3 linked regions of the Danio rerio genome follow. The protein of the gene in region 2 purifies or fractionates together with the protein of the main gene of each other region. This does not show direct contact. Links are inferred from orthologs where the notes say so. Each region holds a gene or a part of one and is shown on either strand. Other genes may lie near its edges.

What was found.
Region 1: the proteins of psmg2 (region 2) and psmb7 purify together in Homo sapiens (affinity purification with mass spectrometry; 3 studies listed by BioGRID and IntAct, counting the BioPlex papers as one, with this or other methods). This does not show direct contact. The link is inferred for Danio rerio from reciprocal best matches to the Homo sapiens genes PSMG2 and PSMB7.
Region 3: the proteins of psmg2 (region 2) and psmg3 purify together in Homo sapiens (affinity purification with mass spectrometry; 4 studies listed by BioGRID and IntAct, counting the BioPlex papers as one, with this or other methods). This does not show direct contact. The link is inferred for Danio rerio from reciprocal best matches to the Homo sapiens genes PSMG2 and PSMG3.

Annotation. Positions count from the first base shown.
Region 1 is NC_133196.1:9,696,472-9,700,750, reverse strand, and holds the start of psmb7 (proteasome subunit beta type-7), read right to left. Parts: upstream 2,801-4,279; 5' UTR 2,705-2,800; coding exon 2,643-2,704; intron 709-2,642; coding exon 615-708; intron 537-614; coding exon 439-536; intron 352-438; coding exon 211-351; intron 1-210. UniProt on the Homo sapiens protein: Component of the 20S core proteasome complex involved in the proteolytic degradation of most intracellular proteins. This complex plays numerous essential roles within the cell by associating with different regulatory particles.
Region 2 is NC_133194.1:13,456,661-13,460,396, forward strand, and holds part of psmg2 (proteasome assembly chaperone 2), read left to right. Parts: intron 1-202; coding exon 203-261; intron 262-2,387; coding exon 2,388-2,506; intron 2,507-3,736. UniProt on the Homo sapiens protein: Chaperone protein which promotes assembly of the 20S proteasome as part of a heterodimer with PSMG1.
Region 3 is NC_133178.1:41,959,912-41,963,085, forward strand, and holds psmg3 (proteasome assembly chaperone 3), read left to right. Parts: upstream 1-1,431; 5' UTR 1,432-1,542; intron 1,543-1,853; 5' UTR 1,854-1,866; coding exon 1,867-2,082; intron 2,083-2,173; coding exon 2,174-2,326; 3' UTR 2,327-2,588; downstream 2,589-3,174. UniProt on the Homo sapiens protein: Chaperone protein which promotes assembly of the 20S proteasome. May cooperate with PSMG1-PSMG2 heterodimers to orchestrate the correct assembly of proteasomes.

The sequences.
Region 1 (4,279 bases), on a different chromosome or scaffold from region 2:
CAGTCATTTCAGTTTAAAGGCCATAAAAAGAACACGTATACTTTCCATTAAAGTGAAATTACTGAACCTACACACAAAATGCTCGTTTTAGACAAAAAAAAAATACAAATCAGAAGGCACTAAGAGGTTTTTGCTTTTAAACTCTTCATTTAAACATCAGAATTCTACATTTAAGATCTATATTGCACACGCAGAATAGGTGTTTGTCACCTGAAGAGCATCTGTTTGAGCATGCGGTTTGCTGTGGCGACTCGTGGCAGACGACCGGTGGACAGAGAATGAAGCTCCAGGTTGGAGGAGATGATCTGTGTGGTCATCTCAGTGTCCGCCGCTGTACCTGCTCCACAACAGCTATGCAACAAATCAGAAAAACATGCAGTGTCATTTGATGTCAGGGATCAAAAACTACAAGCATGCATGACGTGAGTTTATACTCACTAAATGTTGGGAGAGATGTAGTGAATTTTAGAGCAGTTCTTATCAGCGACGATCATTCCTTCAGTTGCACGAGTGTCTGCACCTAAAACAACACCATCCTGAGACAGAAGTGAGACGTGAGTATCTAGTCAAACCTTGGATTTCACACATTAAATTCAACTGTTTTTTTTTCTTACCTTATAAACAATCCCACAGATAGTGGTTCCGGTTTTACGGGCAGCAGGAGAGCTGAAACCCAGTTTAGTGATGTCTGCCTCCAGAAGAGCATTTCTAAAATAGCACAAAGGTTTTATTTTGTTATTTAATCTCTGCTATTTTCTTATGGGTGTTATGCAACAATATGTTTTAGAAATCAATAGTATACAGAAGAATGTCAATAACAAATTCTAAAATCTAAGATCTTTTGACAACTAGTTGACACTTTGCACTTATCACCACTTATTGATTCACACTTATACTGTACATATAAGCATGGTCTGGTATAAGATTCTGACGGTAAGACAACCTTGGATGAAAGTTTTATGGTTTGACAGTATTGTGATTGCTGCTCTAAAATATATTATTTTTAAATGTCTGGGTAAAAAAAAAAAAAAAAAAAAAAAAAAAAACTAAAATTCCTCTTTTGAACACAATTTTGTTGTATTTTGAAAAGGAAATAAAAATAACGGTATAGCAGAAAATGCCGGTGGTTTTAAAACCTTGACTTTTCCAAAGCACGGTAAACCTTGAAAATGGTAATCATTCTATGCCTATGTACATATGTATCTTTGTGTTGTTCATAAAAACAATAAAAAACTTTAGACACAAACAATAAGTGAATTATTTGATTTAGCAGCTACTAAAAGACTCTTTTTATTCATTATACTAATCTGCTCATAAGACATTAAACAGAAATGATTTAACAAATTAAAAATAAACAAAACTTAAGTTCATTTAGATTTTTGTGTACAAACCTGGTACAAACACATGACATCGGGGCTGCAGAGTGTCAGTGTAAAAAAACACTACTAGTAAACTAAAAAAAATAAAAATAAATAAAAAAAATACATTACAAAATTACAAAAAAACTAAATTGTATATTTTATAAATAATATATACATTAGTTTGTGTTTTTACGCAATTAAACGGATTCAAAAGAGCTGGAGCTAATTAAACTGTGTTCAAAATTTTCCTGAGTCATTCACACGGGCCATAACTAAATGGTTCATAATAAAAAAGATGGGTTTGCTCAGCTCTCTATCTTACAAAAATCTGCTCTAAAATGGATAATATCCAACATTAACAAGCAGAAAGCCACTAGTTTTTCCAGTCAGCAAATGTACAACAAGCATTATGTTTTACATTCACGTTGACTGTATGGATCAGATACAGATCTCCTGCTTTCTCACCACTCCTTTATTCACATATATAAATATTCCGGTTTATAAAAGAAACTAAGTCGGGTTAAAGGAAATAATATAAAAGAAATCATAATTTAAAAGACGTACAATAACTTAAGTATTGGATTCATCTGTTCCAAAAAGACCCACCTGTATATGCAACTTAACCTTTCCGTTGAGTAAGTTTTAAATACAAATCAAATGGTTTTTTGACTTAAAATGTATTTATATATGAATGAAACTCACTTTAATTTACACTTTAAAAGTCAGTTTGGTGTAACGTTAATTGAGATACAGACTGTGTGGACGGGGTCCGCAGCCCACCAATAACAAAACATGAACAATGATTTTGTGTTTTACCTTTTAAAACATCAAACTCAAACCGCACCGTGTATTGATTAAATAAAAAAATGTTTTAGGCCAGAACAGAATGAAAAACAAATTAATCCACAGTTTACATGCTCATTTTTGTTGTGAACTTGCATACACACTTTAGGTGTGGGGTCCGCAGTCCAACAATGACAACACATTATCAACACTAACAAAAAAACGTACTCTTTCATATTAATAAACATATATATTTATATATTTTTTTATTTCACACAGAACGCAATGCTAATCATAATGTGTTTTACTTATTAAATCCGCTATTCAAATAAGCTTGAGCAAATTCTCCTGAGTCATTCACACAGGCCGTGGCTCAACCGATCATTAAAATGCCGTTAAACTTGTTTTAAACTCTCGGGCTTTTCGACGAATTAAAAACACAATAATTATCCAACGTCCCCGGCATAATAACAAATGATACAGACGCTTAAAACTCACCTCCTACAGTTTTCGAAACTGAAACCGCCGGGCTGGTACTGGCACACTGAGACGGTCGCCATGATTCTGCGGTCTCGCTTCCGGGAAGCGCTAGACTAGTTTCCCTCTGTGTCACACGTTAGAGCTTCCGCGCTCCGCCTCACATCTATAGGATAAGCAGTGTAGGAACCTATAGAGTAGGAATATATACCGTGTAACACGTGTCTCTGCTTCAGGCGCTCCCGCCAGATCATCCGCATATAGTTTTTATCGAAAGAGTTTACACGACAAAGAAATGTACACATTATAAGCCATTATAAAACGGATGATTTCTCTACTGAAAATAAAAGAGTTGGTTTTGAGTTGTCACGCTTTTATTTCATGGAATATTCTTCTGGATAGGCTTGTTCTCAAATTACATTTGTGTACAGTAAACCTAAACCTGCATATTACCCATTTTATTTCCATAAAGAAGCTATCAAACTGGAGTAAGTTGGTTAGAATCATTGTGAGACAATAATTATTTGCAGTAAAAAAATAAATAAACATCTTTAAAATTGTTTTTATCCCCCTTTTCTTTTTTCTCAGAACTGAGATCATGGTTTTAGAAATACTTGTGTAATATATGCCAAAATATATCTACAAATAACATTTAATATTTGAATATCTATTACCTCCAAGTCCGAGGCCATAGGGCTCCACCGGGAAAATGAGGTTTGCAATATATCCAGGTTGGAGGAAAGTCCTTACCCCATGTGGAGAAGTTGAAGTATTGGGTTTTGTTCCTGAGTGAAGGAAGGATGGAATGTGAGATTGGCAGGCGGATTGGTGCAGCAGCAGCAGTAATGTGGTCCATTGTTGTTAAGAAGGAGCTGAGTTGAGAGGCAAATCTTTACCGGTCAATCTACGTTCCATCACTTATGGTCATGAGCTTTGGGTCATGACCGAAAGGACAAGATCTCGGATACAAGCGGCTGAAATGAGTTTCCTTCTCAAGGTGACAGGGCGCACCCCTATAGATAGAATGAGGAGCTCTGTCACCCGAGAGGAGCTCGGAGTAGAGCCTCTGCTCCTCCACATTGAGAGAAGTCAGCTGAGGTGGCTCTGTTTCGAATGCCTCCTGGACGCCTACCTAGGGAGGTGTTCCAGACATGTCCCACCGGAATTAAGGAGGCCTCAGGGAAGACCCAGGACACGCTGGAGGGTTCTTTCCTAAAACTACTGCCCTCGCGACTCGCCCCAGGAAAATCTTGAAAATGAATGAATGATTTTATTTTTGGAGGTGACTAAATTATTGGTGGGAGCATTTTAATAATCTGTGGATAATGGTGGTGACATGTACCCTCAGTCCATGCTAATTCTACACCCTTGATCTAAAGCACAGGTGTCAAACTCAGTTCCAAAAGGGCCGCAGCTCTGCACAGTTTAGTTCCAACTCTAATTAAACAGACCTGATCAAACTAATTGAGTCCTTCAGGCTTGTTTGAAACCTACAGGTAAGTGTGTTCGAGCAGGGTTGGAACTAAACTGTGCAGGGCTTCGGCCCTCCAGGAATTGAGTTTGACACCGCTGCTCTAAAGACATGCGGTAGCTATAGGTGAATTGAACTAAATCGGCCATAGTGTGAATAAATGATTGGATGTTTCTGGCTGGAAGGG
Region 2 (3,736 bases):
TCAGTGGTTACCGGTTTCTTTCTTTGTGGTCATCATAAGAAAGAAACTCAAACAATGATAAAGATGAGTAAATGATGACATACCATTCATTTTTGGTGAACTTTTTTATCTTTAACTTGTAACCCAAATCCATGAGTATAAGCCGGTGTGCTTACTCAAACAGATGTTGCATGAGTGATGTTGTGAATTTGTTTTTGTGCAGTGTATTCTCACAGGGACTTAAAACTGGCTGTGCTGCAGATAAGGGCGCCCATCATCCAGGTTAGTGGTGTATGTTAATGCAACAAGTGTACAGGTGCAATTAAAGGCACAATATGTATGATTTTTGTTTATTAAAATAAAGGCGTGCTATCTATTTTGATCAAGATTAATACTTCAATTATCACAAAGAACTTTTAGAAGAATGTTCAAATTAAAAAAAAAACAAGCAATTTGAACTATTGTGACAAACCGTGTCATGTGTTGCCATGTGAATTACAACACGCACCCTCGATTTCTGGTTTGCTTTTATAGAAAACAGAAATAGCAAAGATGCTCTAATATGTCGTGCCTTTTATTAGACTGCAAGAAGCAGCACTTTATCAGAATCTTAAGATGTATTTCGTATGAAAAACAGCATTGCTGCTTACTCATTTGATCATGACTGGATGAACTGGAAGCGGTAGACTGTGGTATAATAAAAGCTCTGTTGTCTTTATGCTGTATCATTCTTGTCTCTCATCTGTAATTCTTCAACTCATCCATTAACAAGATTTCTGCAGAAGTCCCATAATTCCATATTCAAACTGTGCCTTTGTTTGTTCTGAACAGATGCCCTCGACGGCGAAAATTGCATACTGTGCCTTTAAGTCAGGGGTATCCAAACTCGGTCCTGGAGGGCCGGTGTCCTGCAGATTTTAGCTCCAACTTGCCTCAACACACCTGCGAGGATGTTTCTAGAAAGCCTAGTAAGAGCTTGATTAGCTAGCCCAGGTGTGTCTGATTAGGGTTGGAACTAAACTTTGCAGGACACTGGACCTCCAGGACTGAGTTTGGACATGCCTGCTTTAAGTGGTTAATCAGTGTGGAGTTTTTATTGCCATGCTGATTTTTTTGGTTCTGTCTTTTACATGTCACAGACTCTCAAATATAGCCATTACAAAATGTAAAAGCCAGTGCTATCTAGATTTTGTTTTAAGACCCCATTATAGGGATAGTTTACCCTAAAAATGAAAATTTACTCACTATTTATTTAGTCCTCCTTATGTTCCAAACCTGTTTAAATTTCTTCTGCTGAACACAAAAGCAGACATTTTGAAGAAAGCTGAAAACCTGTAACCACTAACTTCCATAGTAGAGAAACACAAACACTTTGTCAATGGTTACAGGTTTTCAGCATTCTTCAAAATATCTGATTTGTGTTCAACCGAAGAAAGAAACTCAAACAGCGATGCATTTCCCAAACAACAATGTAACTCGCGGCTGAACTATCATAGTACGATGCATCGTTTGAGAAAAGAACAATGTAGTGACAGGTGTTTTCCAAAACCCTTTGTTTCTCTGTCGCAGATCCATCGCTTGAACCATGTTAGTTATTACGTTAAACGCCCACAATGATGCTCTAAACTGGGCGGAGTAACTACTTCATTAAAGAAAACCCCATATTTTACACGCACACGCATTTACACAATTGTAAAGATGAAGATCACTATAACTGAACTGTAAAAACACTTTGAAAGCAAATTACACCTAAGAGAGATGACCTTAATGCTTTTTTATTTTTAATAATTCCAACTTTGAAAGTTAAAATGTTCTAAATGTAAAGGGCATAGGGGGGATAAGTGGGAATAGAAGACAGCCAGGAACTATTTTTCTAACTACAGCTCCAGAGGTGTAGTTGCAAGCGCAGAAGTTTGCGACGCAGTTTGCGAATGTTCGTTGGAGCGACGTATTTGGGATATGGCAAATTAACAAACCCTGTTTGTAACGACGGAACTTGCGACCTTAGTTGGCTAACGATGGTTTTGGGAAACCCAATGTTTGGAAAAAGTGAAGTTTGGAAAAATGATAACAAAATGTCATTTTTTTGGGTGAATCTCTTTTTTACTATTATATTAATTATACAATATGCAGTTTAATATTAACAAATAATAATACAATATAAATAATACGATGAACCTGCCTATATTTTGTCAATATTACATTGCTCAATTGTTACTCCCTTACCAAAGTACTGTCAACTGTCTTGTCAAATTGTATCTAAACTAACTTACATTTAAATCTCGCTGATGACACAATAATAGTCACACCGATAACTAAAAAATGCCAAATATCTGCTGGTACATACTGTAAACACTGACAATTTAACAGTCGATTACTAATACAGTCAGTTTTTATTTTTATCTTAGACAAAAGTGAAATCATTCCGAAAGCTGATGATCTCCTGGATGAAGAGCAGTGGATTCCTCAGAACTGTGCTGCTGTCCAGTGCACATGCTTATCAGAGAGATGACCAACAGCTTCATGGGTAATGAAATACTGATGGCCTGATACGCAGAATGTAATTTATATAATGTAAATGAATGGCAAGTATGTGCGGTGCAACATTTGAAGACTAAAGCTGTAAAATAAACACTAAAACTGTGTTATCAATCATCATGTGATTAATTTTAAGGAAAGAAAGCTTTACTTTAAAATGTTTCAAATTCTATATTTTTTTATACAACAAAATGTTTTAAAATCTAAAAACAAAATGAATATTTAAGTCAGGGGTGCTCAACCCTGTTCCTGGAGATCTACCTTTCTACAGATTTCAGTTGTAACCCGTATCAAACACACCTGCCTGTAGTTATCAAGTGCTGTTCAGGTCCTAATTAATTGGTTCAGGTGTGTTTGATCAGGGTTGGAGCTGAACTTTGCAGGAAGGTAGATCTCCAGGAAGAGGGTTGAGCAGCCCTGATTTAAGTCATTCATTTACAGGACAATGGTGTGTTGATTTTTGAAAAAGGGTTTTCAAGATGCAAGTTTTTGTAAACCGTTATGCTATTGTTTCTGTGTATATTATGAAAATGTGATTTTGTGAACCAGGTAACATTATTGCACATAATGAGGAACTACAGGGCAATATGTGTGCAGGGGTGTAGTTTTTTTATTTTTTTTTTTTTTTTTTTACGTTGCTACTGATCGGGATTCTAGAATACATTTTTAGTCATTTTTTTGTAAATGTGTGTGTGTGTGTGTGTGTGTGTGTGTGTGTGTGAGCACTATTTTTGAGTTTTATACACACCTGCTAGAGACTCAACTGACTGGACACATTCAATGACTACCAAAAAGCTTAAAGGAACAGTTCACCTAAAATTGTCCTCACCATTTACTCGCACTCAACATTTATTAGGGTATCCGTGGGGATTTAAAAAAAATCTTAAAATGTTTTACATGTCAAAAACTAAATTTTAGACTTTGGAAAAAGTTTTAAATTCACTGAAATATTGTCTTGTAGGTCTTAAATAATTTGAAACGGATCTTAATCCTTCATTGTTTATTTAAAGCTACCCAATCGATCCAACACAATCACAAAGCTACCCAATCATCAACAATTCATCTCAATAAAACTTTTAGCAAAACTATATTCATAACTAATTGTAATAGTTAATTCATAACTATGTCTGTTGTGCATACATTTATTTTAAGTTTTTTTTTTTTTTTTAATATGTAGCTAACAAATAACTAATTACAATTAGTTTTTTGTTTTTGATAG
Region 3 (3,174 bases), on a different chromosome or scaffold from region 2:
AACAGTAACTCAAATAACCACTCGTTATAACCGAGGTACGCAGAAGAGCATCTCTGAACGCACAACACTTCCAACCTTGAGGCAGATGAGTTACAGCAGCAGAAGACCACACCGAGTGACACTACAGTCAGCTAAGAACAGGAAACTGAGGCTACAATTCACACAGGTTCACCAAAATTGGACAATAGAAGATTGGAAAAATGTTGCCTGGTCTGATGAGTCCCGATTTATGCTGCGACATTCGGATGGTAGGGTCAGAATTTAGCATCAACAACATGAAAGCATAGATCCATCCTGCCTTGCATCAACGGTTCAGGCAGGTGCTGCTGGTGTAATGGTGTGGGGAATGTTTTTTGGCACACTTTGGGCCCAAAGGTACCAATTGAGCATTGTGTCAATGCCACAGCCTACCTGGTTATTGTTGCTGACCATGTTCATCTTTTTATGAACACAGTGTACCCATCTTCTGATGGCTACTTATATGGTGCCATGTCATAAAGTGCGAATCATCTCAGACTGGTTTCTTGAACATGATAATGAATTCACTGTACTCCACTGACCTCCACAGTCACCATATCTCAATCCAATAGAGCACCTTTGAAATGTGGTGGAACGGGAGATTTGCATCATGGATGACAAATCTGCAGCAACTGCGTGATGCAATCATGCCAATATAGACCAAAAACTCTGAGAAATATTTCCAGAAGCTTGCTGAATCTGTGCCATGAAGGATTAAAGCAGTTCTGAAGGTGAAAGTGGGTCCAACCCGGTATTAGAAACATACCTAATACAGTTGCCAGTGACTGTTAAAAATGTCATACAAAATTCAGTATTTTTTTCTTGTCTCACTCATCTATACTTTTTTTATTTAAAATATAATCAATTGCATTTAAAAGTATAGATTTTTAAGTCACTGATGCTGACTGTTTTATTAAATACAAATTCAAACAGACATAGTATTACAGAAATAGTCATTATAAATAAAATAAAAAACTCCCTTTAATGATAAAGTTGAATTTTCAGCAGCCAGTGTCAAATGATCCTCCTATTACATCACGTATTGGTACTCAGAAAACATTATTTAACATAATTAAGTAAACTATTTTTGAGGAATTTGTTTTACTTTTCTTGATGAATAAACTGTTCAAAAGAACAGCATTTATTTTGAAGTAAAAACAAATTATAAATAACTTTGTAACAATAAAAGTCCTGCCATGCATGTTTGATCATTGTATTGCTTATCTGAACAAATGTGTACGTTTCCCTTTATGTTTGATTGCCATAAATATAATGCTAAAATAACTACGATTTAATGTTGATAAAATATAAATATACAATGACATAAAACTGTCATCCATGCAACAAAAGTCAACGGACCGTTCCTCTCTGTCTCTCTCCTCCTCTCGTTCAACATCTTTCCCCTTTGTCATTGTATGCGTAGAAGAAGATCACCCACGTTTCAGTGTTCGCCGAGGGATGTTCATAAACTGAATTCCATCGACTTAACAGGATAGTTTACTAGCCCCCGTCAATAAGTTACAGGTGAGAAATTGCTGTTAACTGTACGCTGTTCTGTCTAAGAAACTGTGTGCTGTTTTTAGCATTCTGTAAGGCTAACTTATAGAGACTATGAGCCTCGGTGTTTCCTGGATTACACACCGCGTTTGATAAGCCGAACGCCGCGACGTCATGCGGCCTAGTCTCGCTTTAGCACCGAATTAGCATCAAGACTAAATCTTTCCGCAGAGCTTTCTGTTTGCTTATAACTTCCAGTAATTCGATTGTTAATAAGTATTATCATATGAATCTCATGATTATTATGCTTGGTGGCTCTTACTCTTATTTATTTTCAGGTGAAATTAAATAATGGCCCCTCAACCAGTCATCCGATCAAAACAGGCAGAAAAAACAATAAACGGAAACCAAACTCAAGTTGTTTGCACGGAATTCAGCAACTACATATTTATCGTTCTGACACAGTATGGTAAAATTGGAACACTTGTGTCTATAACGCCTGACACGAGGTCCGGTGACATCAGTGTACCAATGTACACTAGCAAAGTCCTGCTGGGGAAAGATGAGGTACTGAAGTGTGCTTTCTGTTTGATAACTATCAGCATAACAGATAAAGTCGTGTTTGTGATTCACCTTGTCATTTCTGTCTCCTTTGCAGCCTCTTACACACGTCTACGCCAAGAATGTTGCAACGTTTGTCTCACAGGAATCAGGCAACCGACCAATCCTGTTGGGCCTTTCACTGAAAGACAACAGTGCTGAAACTATGAAAACTGTTAAAGATATGATCAAAAGCTGCCAGGTTTGGTAAACAGAAGGTCACATGGCGAGCACACTATTTTTGTTTTGGAGTATCTGTGTGATTTATACATCATAAATCTTTACTTGTCTTTGGTGAGTTTACAGGATGCTTGAGCAGATGGTGATCTTAAGTGCTCATGCTATACTTGAACACTACTCAGCACTTGATTCTTAATATAAAAACGTGAGAGAATTGTTCAGTTTCACTTCTATTTTTCCAGATAATAATGGATGTCTTTAAGTTGTCACAAGAATAAATTTATATTTTCTTATCTTTGGTTATTTTTGGTGCTCATTTAAATGATTCATACCAGTTCTAAAACATTTGGAAAAGGACCTGCAATGTTAGCCTCACATATACTGTCTGCTAAACAGTTATTGAATTCAGTGTTCACTGAAATGTTCAGCTACTTTAATCCATATTTTCCCCATATGATTTTAATTTAGTTACAATCCAGAGTTGACTTTTTTATTTGAAATAAATATAAGCTAAAATTAAGTTTATAAACTGAGTATAAATATACAAACTGAAATCATTTTGTTCATTTCTGTCATTCTTCTACACAGAGGGCTATTTTACATTTTGAGGGCCTGAAAACAAATTTTTGAAGTGGAGATTTATGAATACGATGAGGCCTTGCATATTACTTGACAACCAAAACAACAGTGGTGGCTTACACAGCTGGATGTGCACAGGCGTGTATGTTTAGTGTTTCTACACCGTGCCATTGTCAGCTTAATGCACATACAGTTGAAGTTATTATTATTAGCCCTCCTGAATCATTAGCCCCCCTGTTTATTTTTCTCCCAATTTCTGTTTAACGGAGAGAGGATTTTTTTTTCAACACATTTCTAAAC